Linked DNA regions of Caenorhabditis elegans. The protein of the gene in region 1 interacts with the protein of each later gene in a biochemical or structural test. Each region holds a gene or a part of one and is shown on either strand. Other genes may lie near its edges.

Region 1 (5,125 bases):
TTTTTTACACGCCTGCCTGCCTAAAGACAGAATTCACCTGAACATTTTGAAATCTATTTGTTGAGCTTTCAGTAATCAAATTTGTAATATGGAAAATGCCATTGTTTTAACTTCACTCCAAAATGCAGACAAAGAGATGTAGGGCAGGTAGGTAAGCAGGCGTGAAGGCGCGGATGCCTAGTTTTTGTGTTTTTGAAAATTTGTTGCCCGTTATTTTAAGAAAACTGAATTTTTTGGAATTTTTCTGATCCAATGTTTCTTAAAAATTTCCGACAACATTTCAAAAATTTAACTTTTTTTTTTGAAAAAAAAGAAGCAACATTTTTAAAACAGAAATATATCCAAAAATACAAAATCCTATTTGAAAAAAATTTACAGATCCTTTGAAAATATAGCTTTCAAATTTAAAACTGTCAATTTAAGAATTAATATATTTTTTAACGTTTCTAATAAATTAAAATCCCAAATATATTTCAGCGTGAAAAAGTTCATTGAACCTTTTCGACCCTTTGCTCCATTTATTCTCCAAAAGTTCATTTTGCACAATGTGCTCAGTACGTGGAAATCGGGATAAAACTGAAGTTGCATTTTCTGCCGTCGCCGGTATGTTTTCTTTTCTGTTGTTTTTTTTTGTTTCGATAAACTTTCCCACTTTCCGCTTTTTCCGCAACTTAATCATATTTATTTTTAGAAAACCATCATGATTTCTGTCACTTTCCGTCAAATTCTGGGTCTTGTTTCTCTACTGTGTGCCACGTGGCTTTACAGCCAATGCAGACATATTTGGCTGCTCGCCCAGGACGATTTCAACGAGCAATTCACGAATTTTTTGGGTGAAAAATGGTGGAGCACGGATCAGTTGGAGCTTTGTGATGATGAGACAAAGGACACGAAATGGCAGAAAAATGGTGAGTGTCTGTGTGTAATCGCGCTCCGTTGATAATTTTATATTTGGTATATACCGTTTTTTTGTCCGCAGAGCGCGCTTGCAGCAAGGCTACTTAGCAAAATTTGGGGGTTTATCAGTTTTCAAAAGATTTATTTCAATTTCTCTCCATTAACTTTCATAAGTAGCAATGAAAAATGCGATTATCATATTTAATTTTTTTTTTGACAATAAAAAATCAATAAGCTCAAGCACATAAAAATCTACAAAAAGATCACCACTTCTTATTCCTCTTCCTCCTCTTCTTCCTCTTCCTCTTCGGCTTCTGGCTCTTCAGCTGCTGGCTCGGCGGCTTCTGGTTCTGGCTCGGCCTCTGGCTCGACTGGAGCAGCTAGTTCCACTGGTGCAGCCTCTTCTTCCTTCTTCTCTTTCTTGGACCATTCTGGTTTTCCGTCGGCGGTTCCCTTCTTCTTTGCCATGATTTCGTCGAGGTCCGTCTCCTTTTTGACCACTTTCAGGTTGTTGCGGAAGTTTGATTTTTCCTGAAATTTATTGTTATTTGGTGGAAATCAATTGGAACAATTTGAGAACTTTAAAAAAACTAAAATGTTTTTAAAAAGATATCGGAATATTTTTCAATGGAAATTTTCAGTCAAATTTTTCTTTCCGAAATTAAATAGTGGTTTGCCGTGTTTGAGTTGAGCATTTTAACATTTTTTTACACAATTTTAACGCATTTTTGGTGTTTTCTGCATTTGGCACGAAAAGTTGTTGCAACCGACAGTTCACGGGAATTAGCGAGCTTTGGGTGATCCCCAAAGATGTCGGCTGCATCTGTTTTGCAAACGCAATAGTTAGATGCCCACATTTATAGTTTGCAGCCGACACCTAACTGGTCTGTTCAAAAAATTTCAAAAATTGTCTTGCAGCAGCCGACACCTAACGAGGCTTCGAAAAGTTTCTACAAAATTCATTATTTCCAATCTCTCACCTTAACTTCTCCGGATGACTTGAACTTGTTGTCGTACTTGGACACCTTCTTCAATGTTGGCTTCACAAACTTTCCTCTCAAGTCATTAACTTGAATAGTCAACTGATTGATCTCTGCCTCAGTCTGGGATACTCCGAAGTTGATATCGAACTTCTCCTCCTCAAGAGCACAAACTCTGGCGAACATATCCTCATAGATCTTCAAGAGTTGTCCCTGATCATTGATCGAGTCGACGTCTGGAAGTGGGATAGTACGCTGCTGAAGGGTCTTCTGACGTTCTTGCTCCTTGAGCATTTGCTGTTGCTTCAAGTCCTCGGCGGCTTTCATCATGAGAAGTTTCTGGAATTATTCTGATATCTAAAAAGTTACAGCCAAGGCTTTACTCACTCTAAGCTTCTTCTTTCTTTCTGGAGTCAAGAAACCCTTCTTCTTGGATCCCTTCTTTGCTGCCTCCTCCATACGCTTACGGACTTCGGCTTTCTTGAGCTCACGCTCTTGAGCCTTGCGGGCGGCATCCTGAAATTAATTTTAAGTAATCTGAAAATTGAGCAACTTCTTACGTCCTCAACATCAGCCTGAGCTCCGCCGTAGCGAATGTTCTCGTCTTCAATCAGCATTTTGGCGGGGAAAAATGACCTGGAAAAGTTGATCTGTGAGAAGTGGCAAGCGGGGCGGGAAAGAGAAATTGAGCAATAAATCTTGATTAGTATGTGTGCGGAGCAGGAAGGAAAAATAATAGCATATGGAAGAAGTTAGTAGAGAAATGGGATTTGAGAATTAGAACAAAGAACATAAAATGTTCTGAAAGATACTACGGTAACCTAAAGAGGCCGACGCAGCCGACCGGTGGCGGCGGCGGCAAACCCGGGAAATGTCGGCTGCAAACTAATTTTCAGTATAGGCTTAGATATCTGCAGCTGACACTTAACCGGGTGTATTTTGTACATTTAAAGCATCGAGACATTTTGTTGAACCCGGCAGATGTCGGCCGCAAGTTTCCATAAAACAGAGGTTTTTGTAATTTTTTCCAGCCAAAATTTTAAGACGTAATAGATTGTGAACCCGGGAAATGTCGGGTGCAAGGAAATTAATTTATATTTAGATGATACGTTATAGCAGCCGACACATAACTGGGTTTAGCGGAACTTTGGGAACCCGTGAGAAATCAGCTGCAAGCAGCTTCGATAGTTTTTAAAAAGTAAAATGTTGTCGCCGACATTGATACAATTTAGTTTAACCCAGGACATGTTGGCTGCAAGAAAGTTTTGCAAAAAGTGTAAAAAACAAAAACAAATCTGCAGCCGACATTGAATTGGTTTTCACAAGACCAACAGTTTCCAATGCATCCGACATCTCACAGGGTTTTCCAAAATTCTATTAAAGCTTGCTGCAGCAGACTGAATTTTACGAAATATTCACAAAACCACAATTCATAATGGCAGCCGCAAAAAACCCGGCCGATGGCATATTAATCAGGCTAGACAAGATATACGGTAAAAAAGTAAGACCTGGAAAATCAAAAAGCATGACGTAATCTGATCACAACGAATGGCAGAATGAGTGAATCAGGAGGAGAAGACTGAAAACTAAAACCAAAGTTTAAAACATGTTTTTCCTGCGGAACCCCCTCCCTCCCTGTTTTCCCCTGCTCTCCGCCTCCATCTTGTACTCTCTCTCTATCTCCCGTCTATAACTTTTGCTCCTACTGCTGATGCACATATTGCATACGAAACAAAACGAAGAAGCGAACAGTGTAATAAAACAGGGCGAAAAAGAATGGCGGAGGCGGGCAAGAAGCACTAGTGAAAACGGCGGTAATTCAAAACCCATCATCACTTTTTGCCGCAAGATAGAAACGACATGTGTGTGTGTGAGCCTAGAGCTCTCGGAGCTCTCACGGGAAAGCTTTGGGAATACTACTTACTTTTCTTTTTCTGTGGTAGAAAATGTGCTAGGGGAATTCGGAAATTAGCAGGAATTCCCCGGGGGAATCCCTTTTATCAGACCACCGGTGCCAATCAAAATGAGGATCAATTTGCAAAAAAGAGAGATATCAGAACAGTTGTTGCCACCACATCAATTGTCGCAAATTTTGAGGTGGCAAAAGATTGATGATTGGGAGAAAAATGGGAAGTCTGGAGGTCAATTTTGGGTTTTTTGAACATTTTTTGAAAAAAGTTAGGAAAATTTCGGACTTTCGAAGTTAAGTTTCAAATGATTTAGAGCAAATTTGAAGGAGCCAGGATTTTTTTTCGCGTTTGAAAACTGATTTTCGAAGGCTCAGAGCTTTCCAATTTCATAAAAATGAAATTAGTTGTAAACATTTTGAGTTTTGTTTTTCGAGGCTTCTTAGAGCAATTTGGAAAATACTGGAGTACAGTTTGAAGGTGGATTTTGAGAGCTAATTTTCATAGAATACTACAACTAATTTGAAAACTGTTTTTTTTCAATTTTCTGAGCAAATTTGAATGTTTCCAGAATTAATTTCAATTATTTCAAGCTCCTTGAAGCAAATTTTTTGATTCCTATGCTTGTTTTTTCTGTGCCAAACACTCAACAAGAAATCGGAAGCATATGTGCTCCGATCAGCACCGCAGCTTCCTCATTTTGATTTTTTTTCGAGAATTTCTGAGCTTTGTTCCGAAATATCATTAATCAGGCATAGATATCGAACAGAAAAAAGGGTTTCTTCAAGGAAAAAAGCTAATAATTTCGAAATAGTTGTCCCTGATCAACATAGAAGATTGATGTCTAGAAGGAACATGATATGTGGGTTGACAAGTTTTTTTTTTCACGGACGTTTTTGCTCAATGAGCACACTGGGCTCAGATTTTTGCCGGAACTTTTGGACAACCTTTACGGAGAGGATACTTGGCTAGTAGCTCCTCTTCCGGGCTACATGAAATAATTTCAGGCCGGAACAGGCTTTTGAGTAGTCCACTATTTCTGAAATCTGCCAGCTTTGCTCTCTGCACTTGCCAATAAAATATGTATAACCACCACAACAACTGACGTAGTGAAATGGAGGAAACAAAAGTTCAGAGATAATAAAAATGATGGGTATGAGTGACACAGCTTGCAAAATACTTTGGAGAATTTTGTAGGGGCACAGGTTGTTTTGTTGCGGATAATTTTGTACTGCGGCTTTAAAATTCCAGTGAAATTTATTCTGAAATTCCAGATTCCATCTGCATCACCTACGTCTACAACATGCTCCCGGTCGACATGGAAATTATCAGTTGGGCTCC
Region 2 (4,879 bases), on another chromosome or scaffold:
AAAAACACTTGTTTTTGTTATTTCTGAGTTGAAGCAAGGTAGCTAAAGAATGAAGCAAGGAATTTAAAAACAGTGTTTCAGAATGAGAGACATAGAATTACAGTAAACCAGATACATTATAGACATTGAGAGCATCCTAATATTTGTACCTACTTCAAAGAAACTAACACGTGGCGCTTTGAAAGGGAGTGAGAGAAAGAGAAACGGAGGGACAACTCTATGTCTGTCTCTTCTTCTTCTTATTTTCTAATTTATATTTACATCTGCTTTCTTCTTCTCGTTTTCCCATCTGATGGTTTCCATAGTAAGTATCTGGGCTCTGATAAGCAAAGAGACGGCAGAGAGACTCGTGAAGGGCTTCTGGAGCAATAGTAGCTGCATGTGATGGACACTATTTGGAGTCTCCACCGTTAATCCCTTTTCTATTCCTGGAGGGATATTGGTGGGAAAGTGGATAGAAAAAGATAAAGCCTATGTTACACTAAGTTTATATAGAAAAGAGTTGAGCACAGATAGAGAAAAAGAGAGGGATTTGTTGAATTTAGATTTGGAACAATTGAAATAGTGAAAAACTGTTTTGCAAGTTCACAAGTATCCTGAAATTCATTCGTAGAAAATCTACATAGAGAATTGTCACTTTACTTTTGCAAATTTACAAAAACTGTCCTGTTGCGCTAAAACGGTAAAAACTGTAATGCCGCAGAGTAGAGGTCTCATTTGCAGTGATTTAATACATTTTCCATTTTTCATAATTTTCATTCTATTTAGAGACACTTCACTTTCAAACAACAAGGTTGCAACGGTGAATCTCTATATTTATAGAGATTTGTCATTCCATTCCCCGTAGATGGACTTTTCCCGTTTTTTTAGGTCAAGAGAAAACGGAGCACTATACTGCGGATTTGATGTTGTGTTAAAGGATTTGAGAAGTCTAGTTCTTCTGATTATTTCCTGATTTTGGCCGTTTCAAATTGGTCACACTCTTCCAATAAGCCTGTGGATGTACAAAGACTTTTATTCATTTTTATTCATTCAAAAGAATGACAAGAAAATTAATAAAAAGTGAAATGAATTTAACATTTCAAGAAAAAGGAAATTATGAAAAGTTGGTGACTGGTCCCCACAGTTGAAGATTGTAGATCAGCGCTGAAAAATAAAAAGTTAGTTTTTGAATAAAATCAAAAAAAGCTCGAACACTTACATTTTAAAGGAATTAGAAAATTTAATCAGACTCTCCAGCCATCAACTCCCAGAACTCCTCGAACTCAATCTTTCCGGAACCGTCCTCGTCAATCTCGTCGACAGCCTCCTCGAGTTGTTGATCGGTGAGGTCATCGGCGATTTCTTTGAGAAGAGCCTTCAGAGTTGGTCGAGAAATATATCCGTTACCCTGAAAAATTAATAATTAAAGAATAAAAAGCAAAATCTAAAAGTACAAACCTCCTTGTCGAAAAGACGGAAAGCTTCACGAAGTTCTTTCTCCAATGTTTCCTTGTCGACAGTGTTTGCAACGGTGTACACGAGAGCGCAGAACTCGTCAAACTCGAGCTTTCCGGAACCGTCAGCGTCGAACTTGCGGATCAGTTTACGAAGGGTCTAAAAGAATGAAGTTAGATGCCACATAGATTTAGAAAAATCAAAATCATCAATTCTATAACTAAATTTCATAACATATAGTTATATCTTACTTTAGTCGACATAATAAATGCTTTTGTTCAGATGGAATATCAAAATTAATTATTTCACAAACATTAGTAACATGTTTTAGTGGCGAAAATTAATTGAATTCAGTTGAGAAACAAGCCGCAGAAGATAGGTCGGATAAAAACAAAATTTTAGGCAAGAGTAACCCATTTATATTTTCGGTTATCTTACTCAGTTGGCCTACCTAATCATTACCGTGAAACCTAAATTTAAAAGAGTTGAAAACTTCCTAATTTGAATTATCACTCTTCTGAAGATCCCCTAACTCTACATAAACCAAAAGTTCCAAAATGATTTACCTTCTCATCGAAATCCTGTTCCATTCCATGCATGATTTGACCGATCTGAGTGGCCATGATGTATCCTTGCTTTCCTCTGTCGAAGGCATCGAAGAACTTTTGGTATTCTAGAAAGTTTTAATGATGATTTTTCAATCATAAATATAAAATATCTTACCCTCAATTTGGGATCCGTCGATTTCAGCAAGAATCTCTTCGATATCCTCAGCCTATAAAAGTATAAACATATAAAAATTCAAAAAGAAATTTATTGAAGACATGAGAAAGCGGGACTCACCATGTTGTCGGAGTTTGTTGTGCTCTGGATAAGCTTCGTCGGGCAGAAGCAACGGCGGGAGCGAGTAGGCGGAGGAACCCGAGGGCGGGCTTTTCTTTCTCACAACGGCATCATCGTCTCCTCCACAAAACACATTCTTGGTGTTACACTGGGTGACAGATGCTCCTGATCAACGGGCATGAGAGATCATAGAGGGCGAAGAGACGCAGAATGATATCTGTGTGGAAGTTGACGATGATTTTTGCGAAACACAGGATTCGAGAGACAAGGCTCTCCGAGAAGGAAGGGGAAACGGGAGGAGAGTACGAAGAAAGATTGGGGGGACAGGCAACCAAGGATCAATAAAAGTCCAGGAAATAGAAAAAAAATAATATAATTGGAGTAGAATTAAGTACAGAAATGGAGTTGACAGGCAATATATGTAATTGAACTTTCCCAGAATACTTGGATTCTTAGCTGTACATGGTGACCAGAACATCTAGCCTTTTTGGGCTTCAGAACACAACAACGTTTTTTTTTCAGTTTTTTTAAATGTGCACTGAGTATGTATATCTTTACAGTTTTATATCAAACGTTTAATTTGAATACTATTTTATAATTCTCAAGTTTCTCCAGTAACTTTTTATCGCGTGACACACCATTTTGAATTTAAACTTTATGTTTTTCCAATTCAGTTTAGTCGAGGGGGAGGAGGTAGATTTCTAATCATTCTTATTTATCATTTGACACTAAATTTCCGGATTTCAAAAGGAAACCATAATCGTGAGTTTGGAGCTAACAAGTAACTTCGGAAAACGTTATTTCTTTTGAAGAAGAATGTCGAAGAAAAAAGTGCAGAATACGAACAAAAAGATGAAAGAATGTTGGCTGACACCGATCCCACAGAATGTGGAAACTGTAAATATGACAGTTTCATTCAAGATTGATGAAAAAGATGTCGGAAAGCCTGCGAATGAAGTTATTAGAATTAATGAGAATTCGATGGTTTCTTTCCTATCAACAAACTCGTTTTACAATGGATTGATATTGAGTAAGTTTCCAACGGCCGGATAACCCGAAACTATTTTGAAGCGGGCCAACTTCATAACAGAATCTTGCAACTTCTTACAAACCATTATTTACTTTAGTTTTCTAACAAATTTCTGCAGCTTTTCAGATGACTCTTGCAATTTCTTTTGGCAAACTTTATGAAACATTTCGCTTAGAACTGCTCCGGTTTTTGCAACTTTGTAACATCTCTTGGCAATTGTTTATAAATGTTTGTTTCAAGTTGCAAGAGTTTGCTATGAAGTTGTGATGTTTTGCCGAACAAATGTATATTTATCCCCGATAAAATAATAGGCAAAAATTGGTTTGACTGGTACAAGGGTTTCAAAACTCTTCTGTCCACAATTATACATTTTGAGCCAGGAAAAGTCAATTTTCCTCGGAAGACTCCCTAGTTTCTTTTCCACTTTACACTTTTCCAATTAATGTATTAAACCAGTTTAAAAAACTAGATTAAAAATACTTTTCTTTCAGGCGACAAAATAGTCAAGGTGAACGGTGCCAGTGGAAATATATCCAAGTATCAGACAGAGCTCATGAAAGGTGAAACATGTAGTGTTGAGGTTACAAGACGGAAAAATATTATCCCAGCGACCAGAGAACGGTTGAAGAAATCGGGATGTGTTTTGAGACGGGACAATACGTGCTTTGTTATTGAAGTTGAAAAGGTATAATTGAAGAAAAATCGACATGATTATCTTATTCGAAAATATACGAAATCTGAACTTTGCAATGAGGTTTTGAACGGAGTTACAGAATGACCAATTAAATTCTAGAATTTTGCATGTTTTTTGAGTATGAATTGTTTTTAATTTAAAAAATTAAAGACGAAATTATGAAAGTTTTTTTGACGAAATGTGACGAACTGCTTGTTGCTTGACAACAAAAATTCTCATAAAATAATTGTTTAAAATAACTTTGGATTATACCTAGAACTTATGTCCACCCCTTAATAAATACCATTTACTCCAGACTTCCGCAATGAAAAGTGCAACGGTTGGAGTTACAGTGACATATATTCAAAAACGTGGCATAGTAACTCGAATCGAGCCCAGCTCACTCGCTTCGATATTCTTTGGTCGTGGGGATCTGATAATGGATATAAATGAAGAATCCATTCTGAACGCAGAGAAAAATGACGACTTCATTCGTGAGAAACTGTCGGGAATTTTGAAAGGAGAAAAAGTCACATTTTTGGTTGAAAGACCGGTTTCTGTGGAATCTGCAAACACTCTTCGTCATTTGATTGAGTCAGTTGCTCCAGATCCAGATGTTAAGATGGCAAACGACGCGATATGTATTGGTCGGGTGAGGACTTTTTCTTCAAATTGTACCGGCTGAACGTTTGCTTGGAAAACCGGCGTCCGGTTTTGCAAGATTTAGGACGATCCGTATGCTGGAGCTTCAACAAAAATATTATTATTAAAATAACTAAACACTGGGTTTCTTAAAATCAGAAGTATACAGTAAGCCTGAAACTTGAGAAATTGGTCACCTCAGTTTCCACATCTACTCGGTAAATTATTGCTCCGAGAACATGAATAACGCGTGT
Region 3 (5,884 bases), on another chromosome or scaffold:
TTCGGATAGAATGAAATTTAGAAAAGAAGTGTCTTTTCTTTTCCGACACATCCAATACGAACAGATATTATATAACGAGGTCCCCCTAGTCATATTACATGCAAGACTAATCGATAGGAAATAGTGTAGCAAGTAGCTGGTACTATTCATGGATCTATTTTTCATCACCATTATATAATCGTAATACATACATACATGCATATATACATGATCACGAATCTTAGTTGACATTAAATTATCACGACTTATTTAGAAATACTGTCTATGATAAATAGTTTTAACAAGTATTCTCCTACAAAATCATTAAATATAACCCTAAATTCAAAATAAACCACTACTATTATACCTCTTCCACATAATCCACTGATATTATCAAACAAGTTGCCCTCTTGACAATAAACTCTCGAACGCCAACTGTTTCGAATGTTTTGTCGTCGGCTGGATGCCACAATTGCTTCTTTTCGGGGATAAGAAGAAGAGCATATACACACAAGTAGTATTGGATTCTAATGTCAGGATTTCAAAAACTGAGACTCTGATCATTGACCGACTTTTGGGAATCTGAGATAAAAAAAAAGAACAATAACAAAAAAAAGTTTAAGGGAAGTAAATGCGTTTCTATGGATAGTGGGTAGGGCTGTACAAATCGGCGTCCGGTCGTCCGATTTTGACACCACCGGACGCACATGCGTCCGGTTGGGGGTAGCTATCCACGACGGCCGACAACTTCCGAGTTTCGCCACTCACTATACTTAATCAGCAATTTTATAGTGAGTGGCGAAATTCGGAAATTGTCGGCCGTCGTGGATAGCTACCCCCAACCGGACGCATGTGCGTCCGGTTCGAACTTCGGACGACCGGACGTCCGGTTGTACAGCCCTAATAGTGGGTAAAGAGAAATGGAAAAATATGGGAATGTATGAAAATTGGAAAGATGAAATGTGGTACTTCTTATTGTAAAATTAGACACTAATCAAATTCCGGAGAACAAAGCTATGTAACATGGCACTGTAAAAACTGAGCTTGTCATATTTTTTAAAATTCAGTTTTGATTGTTCAGTTTTCTTTAAAAATTCATTCATGAATAGTTACAGTAATAGGATATCTTATATCACGTGTGCATTAGTGTTGCAACCCTTTCCATAAAGTTTCAAGGTTCTTAAAAAAAGGTTCAACTGGAAAAAAACCATACTTGTAGCATACTCTTTCGTAGTGTAATATTACTAGGGAAGCCCAGATTTATGATATCTGTTCATATTGGATGTATGGTGAAAGGCAATATGATTTCGTTATGTTAGGCTTGAAGGCTTGTTAATAGGCTTTAAAAAAGGCTACCAGTAATGTTAATGTTAAGGTTGAAGCCTTGTTAGGCCTCGAAAATGAGACACTTATTTTTTAATTTTAACTCCATTAATGTTCAAATTTAAGGATGTCCTTAAAAATGTAACTAATTTTAATGACACCATTACTTTAATAATTTATTAAAGTTTTAGTCAATCTTGAGTTAAATTTTCGAAAATTTTGCAGCAATTTGATTTTACATCACTTATGGTTATTATTACTAACAGTCTAGATATATAAGAAATATCGTTACTATTTGTACGATAACGTAATTAACAATCAAATTGATAATCGTTTCAATTTTTTAATGTAAAGAGGCTCAGAACGGCTTTTGCCACGTCATCAAGCGACCACGCGAATATCGGTCCTGGAACACCATACCACCTTACTAATTATGTGGTTTTTTTTTAAAGTTTTGTTCCTTTTTCCATTCCACGAGAAACCCTTCTTCTCCCCAATCATCATCTTTTCCATCTGCCATCGGCTCTTGCTCTTCTCCCCACAATTCCCGTTGCTCCGTGTGTGCTGTAATATGCTCCAGGGGGGTGGGTGGGCAGGGATCCCATAGGCATAGGTCTCCACGAAATCAATACTATCTAATCATCTGCCACACCCCCGTCTGATGTTGTGGAGGAAGTGAGAAGAGAGAAGAAGAAGAAGAAGAAGCGGGGGCTCGTGTGGGAGGAGTCTCGTGAAGACGGGAACCTGAAGCTAACGGGAGAAGAAGAATCATTCTCCCCTCCAATTTGAATCGTCGATACTCCGTGTGTTTCAACACAACAACAAACTACCAAAAATGGACGCCATTAAGAAGAAGATGCAGGCCATGAAGATCGAGAAGGTTTCCACACTTTTTTTAAATTTTAATACTGTTTTATAGTGAATTTCTTCAACTTTTTCAATTTTAAAATTAGTAGTGGTCATATACATTCCAATATTTTGAATTTTTCCTCAAAACCATATACACATATTCTAGGACAACGCTCTCGATCGTGCCGATGCCGCTGAAGAGAAAGTCCGTCAGATCACCGAGAAGCTCGAAAGAGTCGAGGAAGAGCTCAGAGACACCCAGAAGAAGATGACTCAGACCGGAGACGATTTGGACAAGGCTCAGGTATGGGTTTAAGCCAGAATTTAGGCTCTTTGCGTATATTTTATCGATTTTAAGACCCCATATAAACTGGCTTCCTAAATTTTCGCTTAGATCTTGGTTTGATAAGACTTTAAGCTATCAGATTTTTACCAGGAAGCTTAAAAATTCATGAAAATCGCAGGAGTTTCTAGAAGTTCCAAAATATTGTCTAGCTTCTACTTTGATACCATATATAATTAGCGTATTATTAATACCTACTTTCTCAACTTAAAGCCGCTATCCCGGAAGATTTTGGCCTGAAACTGAGCAAAGTTCTGAAAAGCAGAAGTTGAGCTCTAAATTTCCTAATTTTTTGGAATCAAGCTTTTACAATACCTTATATATAGCGAATTTTGATTACAGTCCGATTTCAGAAAACAAAATTTTTTAGAGACACTGGCGCTCAAGTAACCTATAAAATCTTAAAGTATAACTAAAAATCACCCTAAAAACAAAATTCGAAATTCATAGTGCAGGGTGCTCAATTTGTAACTTTTAGCCCTAAAAATTTAACCTGGAATCTAAAATTTACCTAGGACACCACTAGAAATCAAATTCGAAGCTCATGGTGCATCGTCCACCTAGGTCTACCTGTCTCCCTGGGCTTATGCTCCTAAGCTGAAACACTTAGGCTTAAGCTAAGCTAAAAGAATAAGCTCAAAATCAAACTTCCATTTTTCAGGAGGACCTCTCCGCCGCCACCTCCAAGCTCGAGGAGAAGGAGAAGACCGTTCAAGAGGTGAGTCGACTTTCTTTTTAAAGCCCAATCCGGGCAGCTTTTGGTTTCTAAACCGACTTCAGGTATTTCCAATTCCCAATCCACAAGCACAACGACCAGGTTTGTGGCGCGATGTTCAAAGTCAATTAATCCGTTAATTAGTCAGTGAGTAGTTGGAATGAAGAGAGAGAGATACATACATATATACAGCTAGTTTTCCATTCCTGTCCTTTTGGGCATGAAAATGAGTGAGAGAGGGTGACGTTGATGATGATCCGCGGTTTTTTTCTCTTTTCCACCCTCTTTCTCTCACTTCCCATAGGCTTCTTCCCCCACCGGGGTAGCTATTGTTTTGTGTGTGTGTGTGTGTCTTCTTTTTTCAATAATGTTCATATATATATATATATATTGTTTCTTCAAATGTTTGGTATACATTGTACTGTATTCAATCATGATTCACTTTTTTCATTCCGTCGAGAGTCAGAGATAGGGTACTGTAGAAATCCTTCTTTCCCGAAAAAGACTTGATCAGGGTGTGGCTGTTATCTAGTTAGCATGTTATATAACATTATGTAATGATGTTCAAACCAGATTGGCATCACTTTTAGCTCGGTTTTCCAGATTTCCCAATTTTGTAAGTTGTCATTATACTGTTTTATTGAAAACTGATTGTGAGCAAAAAGTGTTGTCAATTTATGTAATTCCCTTTAGTCATTGCTATACGTTCTTGAAAAAATTTTGTTGGCTTAAAACATTCTTAAGCTCCGGCCTTAGCCAAATTTTGCAAGGCTACTTTTCAATATTTCGGAAAATTCTAAGTGGTGCCATGTGATATTTAATTTTCTAGCTTAACAAGCTATTAGTTTTCAAGTACTGATCCTAAAAATTTAAAGCTTAGAGCAGTGGCATTTTTTTTGGAATTTCACTAGTCTGGCGGTAACTTTAAGCGAATGTGATCTATTAACACGTGGTGCCAGGTTGTCTCATTGAAGTTTGATCTACAAAAAATGTGGGAATTTTTAGTCAGCACATTCTTAGCCATGCGAAATCAGTTAAGAACTGTGCGTCTCTTCTCCCGCATTTATGTAGATCAAACCGAAGTGAGCCACTCTGACACCACGTGTAATATAATAATCCAGCAGAATTCAAATTCCTCGTGGTGATTTTTCATGCATTACTTTTCATAGTCTTCGAAAAAAATGCTCAATATTTCCAACTTCGGAGTATTTCAAGTGTATGTTAAGCCTATTTTGAATCCCACGCATCACCGAATTTATCTAGATTCCTAGAATATCTACAGTGCATTTTTTTCCACTTCTCCAACTTTAAAGGAGGGCGCATTTATACGAAATGGTCCCGCCACGCGGCCCAAAAATCAATGCGTGGCGGGACCATTTCGTGTAAGTGCGCCCTCCTTTAAAGCGGTAGAAGTGGAAAAATATCAGTGATTTTTAGGAAAAAAACCTTTTTTTGTCGAGAACTTTTTTCCCTCTCCCGACGTTTTTTTTGCACACAACTTGGCGCGCCGAAATCCAATTTCTTTGCGAAAAGCTCAATCCCATTTTCCGTTACTGCTCAAATGAGCGAGAGGCGAAGAAGAAGAAGAAGATAAAGTTCGAGGAGTGTATGAAGTGCTGTTGGGGGCTTCCTTCCCCTGCCTGCGCCATTGTCTAATCTCTAAGTCTCTCTAGCTTCTCTCTCTCTCTCAATTTCTTCTCTTCCAACTGATTACAACGAGATGTTTGCTTTACAACAACTCCTCCCCGCCAATAGGCTCCCGAGGGCTCACTGAGCATCAACGGGCGGCGCGGCGGGAAAGAGAGAGAGAGAGCATCTCCCCCGCAATTTCAAGAAACGAGGAGAGCTGTGTGATCGGCTTCTCGGCATTTTTCAAGGGGCAAGTGAATGGCATGTCAGTTGAAATGGAAATAAATGAGAATAAATGAAAGCGCACACACCAAAATAGAAACTACAGTAGTGCCTAATGGGTCTCGCCACGATTTTCGTAAAAATTCTAAAATTCCTAGGATTTTCTTCCGAGAACTAGGCAAATGCGCTGCATTTTCAAATTTTTTAAAGGAATTTGCAGGGTCTTAGGTACTAATTTCTAGGGGTTTTATTTGACATTTTCAGGCGCTTATTGCGGAATTTCTTACTTTTAGTGTCAGGCTGTCCCATTACTGTTTGATCTACAAAAAATGCGGGAAATTTAGAAAGAAATTACAATAGTACCGAGTAGGTCTCGCCACGGCAAGTAGACGCAAGTTTTGACTCTTTTTGTGTAAGGTTTTCGGTGGAAACTACTCTACAATTCCCAGGGTTTTCCCTCAGATTTTGGTTCTCAGATACAAATTTCTAGGGTAGGCCCTTAATGCGAAAATTCTTACTTTCGGTGTCAGGCTGTCCCAATACTGTTTGATCTACAAAAAATGCGGGATTTTTTGTGACATCAGCACGTTTTAACCATGCAAAATCAGTTGAGAAGTCTGCATCTAAATCCCCGCCATTTTTGTAGATCTAGGTAGATCACACCGAAATGGGACGTGCTTTTGAAGGGCAACTTTTGAGCGCCCAAAAGTTCAAAATTTTGGGGAATTTTCCCGCCTAGCTAACAATTTTTCCTGAATTTCCAAGTTTGTTCGGCCAGTGTTCCCAGTTTACAAAACTGGCATTGAACTGTCATTCAGCTCAAG
Region 4 (4,887 bases), on another chromosome or scaffold:
TGGTTGGACGTAGTTGTAGTTGTTGATAAGTCTCAACTGATGACAAATGCACAGCTCTGGCAGGTTAGTTGTAATTTTTAAAAATCAAAGTTTTTCTTTAATTTGAAAGTTTAAAAAAATCTTAAATTATTTCCCAAATGTCCAAATTAACAAACAATGTTTTTAGGTCAGAAATACCATTACTCAATTATTTGGCTCATCTCGAATCGGTCCAACTAAATACCCAGCGGATCCTCGTAGTACATGTGTTGGAGTTGTGACGTATGATTCCGATGCTACCACAAACGCTCAATTGGACGGACCACACAGTTTCACTGATTTGTACAATGTGGTTCAAGGATCATTGAACAACGTCGATTCTACAAATTCGTCGTATTTGAGCAAGTGAGTTGAGATCTTCATTAAAAAAAAAGTAACTCGCACAAGTTTCAAAACTCACCAACTTTCAGAGGACTTCTGGCGGCTGAGCAAGCACTCAAGAATGGGCGTAGCCGCACATATCGGTTCAACTTTCTGAAAGTTGTTATAGTTTTTGCAGCTGATTATCAGTAAGCTGGAAAGAATGATGTAACATTACTAAAAAGTTAAATTTCAGAGGATCAGGAACCTCTAATGATGCATTCCCAATTGCTAGACGCATGAAATATGACAATACTATTATCATTACGGTAGCGTGCACAACGAATCAAGCAGCATTGGATGGATTAGCACAGATTTCTAGTCCTCAATTCAGTTTAGTGGATGAGATGAATACTTCTAAATTGGTTAAACAGTTGACAACGGCGCTATTGAGCAGTACGTTATATATTTTTACGTTAACTAACTGAAAAATGCATAATGACTATTATGTCTGTGGCATCATATCATTAGAAATCTCTTGAAACTATCTAATTGGAATTAATATGCATTCAACATTCATAGAGAACCAAAGATTGTAATCGTTGGTTGGATGTAACATACCTGGGTAATTTATCACATTAGTCAAATTATAGTTGAGTACGAATTCAAACAACAACTATTTCAGTCAACTGCTTCTGCCCAGAAAACTGGGTTCAGTTTACTGGCAACGGAACTCAATACGGAGTTTGTCTTCGAGGATTTACTGCAACTGGCGGAAGTTACGGTTACCAACATGCCATCGATTATTGTGCCAGTGAAGTTAAAAATGCTCACTTAGCAAATGAGTTCAGTCAGGCCAAACACGATTTTATGCAAAGTGAGATTAAACTTCAAAAACTAAGCATTTCAGCAAAATTACCTATAAATTAATTTCCAGTTCTCATGGCAATTTCGTTCCCCAAGTACAAGCCATTGGAATACTACATTGGATTACGTAACTTGGGAAATCAGTGGCTCTGGGAGCAGCCTCAAGGCCAGGACATGATTCCGGTACTTTATAGATTTTGTTATTTGTGTTTGAAAAATATTGTGTGTTTCAGCTTAATCCACTGATCTATTCAAAGTGGGCTCCAGGATTTCCACAAGCAAATTCTACGAACCAAGTTATTTCGACACAACCATTGCAGGAGGGATCTACTGATGTAAGTCGTTTTGCAACATGAATTTTGCAATATCTTTCAACAAATGAATTTTTATATCGTTGATACGGTACTTCAATATTTTCCTTAAATCTTGTTACAGTTCTTCTGGGCTCCACCTCAGACCAATGATTGGCTCTTCATCTGTCAAGTTCAAGCAAGCAGCACAGAATACTACACTACGTATTTGGAAAATTGATGATCAATTTTATTTTATAAATTTTATTCTTAATCATTACTTGTTCTAACATCAAAAGGGTCGACTACATGGGAATTTTTTTACAATATTTTTTTGAGATTTCTTTTATTTTTTTTATCAACTTTTATCAAATAAATTGAAAGCATGAAAATGTAAGATTTGTTGTTTTTTACAAAAAGAATTATTGGAAGTCAGTGAATGGTAAGGCGCCGTCAGAAATCATTGGTAGGATAAAAATTAAAATTATTCTCCAGACATCATTTCCATGAACTCATCGAAATCGACAGTTCCGGAACCGTCAGCATCAATTTCAGCAATCATTTCGTCGAGCTCTTCCTCTGAAACATTATCGTCAAGAGCACGGAGAATGTCACGAAGATCTGAGACGTTGATATATCCGTTTCCCTGAAAGTTAAAATTTAGGCTTTAAAATTATATTTTCTTCAATTTCAATGGTTCAGACTGTAAAAGAAATATTGATGACATACCGTATTTTTTCTCTTGAACCATCACTCAACTTTGATGGCTACTATCTTGGTTGTCTTTAGTTCTATTTTTGAAAAATTACTATCAGAATTTGGAGAAATATTTTGTACATACTTTGCCAGTTGACAATTTTTGATTAAACTAATGAAAACCGAGATATAAGCTGACAACGTGAAAAAAGGTCATGCTCAAGAATTCAACAAATTATTAGTTTACAACAAACAAAGTTTTCAAAAAGAATTTCAGAATTCACATAATTTCAAATAGAAGAAATACATAGGACAAAAGTATTGACTTTTTTCATATTTTTCTCAAGATTTACTTCTCTCCTTTCATTTTCCCTAAAAATATTAGAAACCAAAATTGCAAATAAACATACTTCTTTGTCGTAAAGACGGAAAGCCTCGCGAAGCTCCTCCTCGAGTCCTTCGTCGTTCTCATTGTTGACAACAAAGTTGGCAACCATAGCGGCGAACTCTTCGAACTCAATCTCTCCGGAACCTGAAAAAGGATTGGTACTGTAGATTTATGGCCGGTGGGGGAAGTATACCATCAGCATCGAACTCCTTGATGAGCTGTTTCAAGTCACGCTCTTCGAAGGCTTGTCCCATGGTACGGAGGATTTGTCCGACCTGGAATTTCAGAGTTTAACAATTTCTTGGGAGTATTTTAAGAAAAATTCAAGAAATTCCAATTTGAACAGCAATTTGCTACAAAATTAAAACTCCACAAACCTGGGTAGCACGAATATATCCTTTTCCCTCTTTATCGAACATGTTAAAGTATTTACGGAATTGCTCGATCTGATCGGCAGAAAGCTTTTCCAAAGCATCAGCAACGACGTCTCCCTACAAAATTGCACATATTCACAGATTTATTTATAGACATAATTAGCTACAAATTACCAATAAAACAAAACTCTTACCATGATTGATGATTGACCTGATCGACACGAGGAAAAGTTTCTTCGACAAAATGCGAAAAGAGAGGGAAAATCCACAAACTGCTCAAGTGGCTTACAGCGCGGGAGGAGCTCTAACGAGAGCACACAATGCGTCGGCGGGGGATGTGTTTGGATATTGGAGACAGACTGTTAAAATGTGTGAGATGTAGACATAAAAAGGCACTGTGCAGGGATACAGCCGGATAGAAGTAGAACTCGGGGGCTCGGAGATAGGTAAACTGATAGAGCATTGGTGGGTACAGTTGAAGGCATTTTTGAAGTATTCGGGGAAAGAGTAAGTCAATGTGTTACTACTATAGAAACTTCCAATAGTATTGGGCAGTTTATCATCTGAAAATTTTGAAAAAAACGAATGTGCTACAAAATACTAGCTTAAAGTAATTGGAGTAATTGGAAATTTTCGATGGTGGAACTAGCAAAAAAATTTTATTCAGAAATGTATTGTATTCAATTAGTATTGAAAGCGTGGTCGTTTGAAGTGAAAAACAACTTTTAAATTATAGCCACTTATTTAATTATATAGCCACTTATTTAATTATAGCCACTTATTTAATTATAGCCACTTATTTACTTATAGCCACTTATTTAACTTATAGCCACTTATTTAAAACATACGTTGCCCCCATCATAAACTATTGCTCTGAGATCTACTCCCCTTCCCCCAACTCCTCACTCTCTGCCATACTTGAAAAACCGCTTAGGACCTTCACCAACCGCGTCCTGCAAAGGTGCAACGTTAAATTCACCTCTTACGAAAACAGACTGTGCATCATGGAACTATTCTCCACCAGACACACTAGAATTAAAGCTCAAATGAAACTATTATATAGACTTCTTACCGGTTCTACTCATTTCTCTAAATTAACTCAGTTTGTCAAGTTCTCTAATTCCAATAGGAGACCCATGATTCTGGTTAGGAAAGACACATGCACCTCTCATTTCTTTGCCAAATCCATTCCTATTTGGAACAATCTTGTCAAAAATATACCGGTATTTCTCTCCCCCTATCAGTTTTCAAGTTTTCTCGATCTCAATATTCCCCGGTATTAACTTTTATCCGCTGGTTCTCTTTGACTTCTAACTGATCTCTTCTACCACATTACCCTCTCTCTCCTTTCCCGTCCCAAACTCGAGACGTACTCTTTCTGGGTTAGTCTCGTTTTACCGTTTTATTTAACACTCAAAATTCAATTGTACAGTTGTAAATTGCATTAGTTATGTTAAATAAATCAATCAATCATCTGAAAATTTTGAAAAAAACGAATGTGCTACAAAATACTAGCTTAAAGTAATTGGAGTAATTGGAATTTTCGATGGTGGAACTAGCAAAAAAATTTTATTCAGAAATGTATTGTATTCAATTAGTATTGAAAGCGTGGTCGTTTGAAGTGAAAAACAACTTTTAATTAGTCTGATTAATTTATTAAAACAATTGAGTAAAAGTACAGTTGTTAAAAATTGAGAAAACCAATACAGAAAAAATACCGGACAGAAATTTTGTAATCATTTCCAAGAAAAAGTACAATTATAAAAACCGAACCTGGATATCAGAAAAACCGACTAAACTGTTTGAGGAAAAATAAATAAAAATAATTAATAATATTAAACTGAAACACGGGATTTCTTCTTGATTTCCTTGACAAGTTCTGGATTGTAGAATGGATTGGCAACGAGTTTCACTGGAGATTGAGCCTTGGCAA

The links.
Region 2: the proteins of tni-3 (region 1) and pat-10 interact in far-western blotting, tested with the Caenorhabditis elegans proteins (2 studies listed by BioGRID).
Region 3: the proteins of tni-3 (region 1) and lev-11 interact in far-western blotting, tested with the Caenorhabditis elegans proteins (one study listed by BioGRID).
Region 4: the proteins of tni-3 (region 1) and tnc-2 interact in far-western blotting, tested with the Caenorhabditis elegans proteins (2 studies listed by BioGRID).

Annotation. Positions count from the first base shown.
Region 1 is NC_003283.11:16,832,616-16,837,740, forward strand, and holds tni-3 (Troponin I 3), read right to left. Parts: upstream 2,514-5,125; 5' UTR 2,495-2,513; coding exon 2,438-2,494; intron 2,394-2,437; coding exon 2,265-2,393; intron 2,217-2,264; coding exon 1,878-2,216; intron 1,429-1,877; coding exon 1,171-1,428; 3' UTR 1,023-1,170; downstream 1-1,022. Other genes in the region: phy-3 (Fe2OG dioxygenase domain-containing protein), read left to right, coding at 701-908, 5,059-5,125. UniProt on the Caenorhabditis elegans protein: Troponin I is the inhibitory subunit of troponin, the thin filament regulatory complex which confers calcium-sensitivity to muscle actomyosin ATPase activity.
Region 2 is NC_003279.8:5,017,781-5,022,659, forward strand, and holds pat-10 (EF-hand domain-containing protein), read right to left. Parts: upstream 2,307-4,879; 5' UTR 2,284-2,306; coding exon 2,281-2,283; intron 2,213-2,280; coding exon 2,161-2,212; intron 2,111-2,160; coding exon 2,004-2,110; intron 1,597-2,003; coding exon 1,441-1,596; intron 1,391-1,440; coding exon 1,223-1,390; 3' UTR 1,202-1,222; intron 1,147-1,201; 3' UTR 1,003-1,146; downstream 1-1,002. Other genes in the region: C46H11.6 (PDZ domain-containing protein), read left to right, coding at 3,097-3,310, 3,802-3,995, 4,300-4,635.
Region 3 is NC_003279.8:14,627,213-14,633,096, reverse strand, and holds the start of lev-11 (Tropomyosin isoforms a/b/d/f), read left to right. Parts: upstream 1-2,002; 5' UTR 2,003-2,137; coding exon 2,138-2,182; intron 2,183-2,317; coding exon 2,318-2,455; intron 2,456-3,155; coding exon 3,156-3,212; intron 3,213-5,884. UniProt on the Caenorhabditis elegans protein: Tropomyosin, in association with the troponin complex, plays a central role in the calcium dependent regulation of muscle contraction. Involved in muscle actin filament organization and muscle arm extension and morphology.
Region 4 is NC_003280.10:10,465,201-10,470,087, reverse strand, and holds tnc-2 (Troponin C), read right to left. Parts: upstream 3,237-4,887; 5' UTR 3,152-3,236; coding exon 3,149-3,151; intron 3,072-3,148; coding exon 2,958-3,071; intron 2,856-2,957; coding exon 2,774-2,855; intron 2,725-2,773; coding exon 2,603-2,724; intron 2,143-2,602; coding exon 1,981-2,142; 3' UTR 1,738-1,980; downstream 1-1,737. Other genes in the region: clec-143 (VWFA domain-containing protein), read left to right, coding at 1-63, 167-384, 450-548, 596-795, 1,025-1,216, 1,277-1,389, 1,440-1,541, 1,642-1,737; sdz-37 (SKN-1 Dependent Zygotic transcript), read right to left, coding at 4,790-4,887.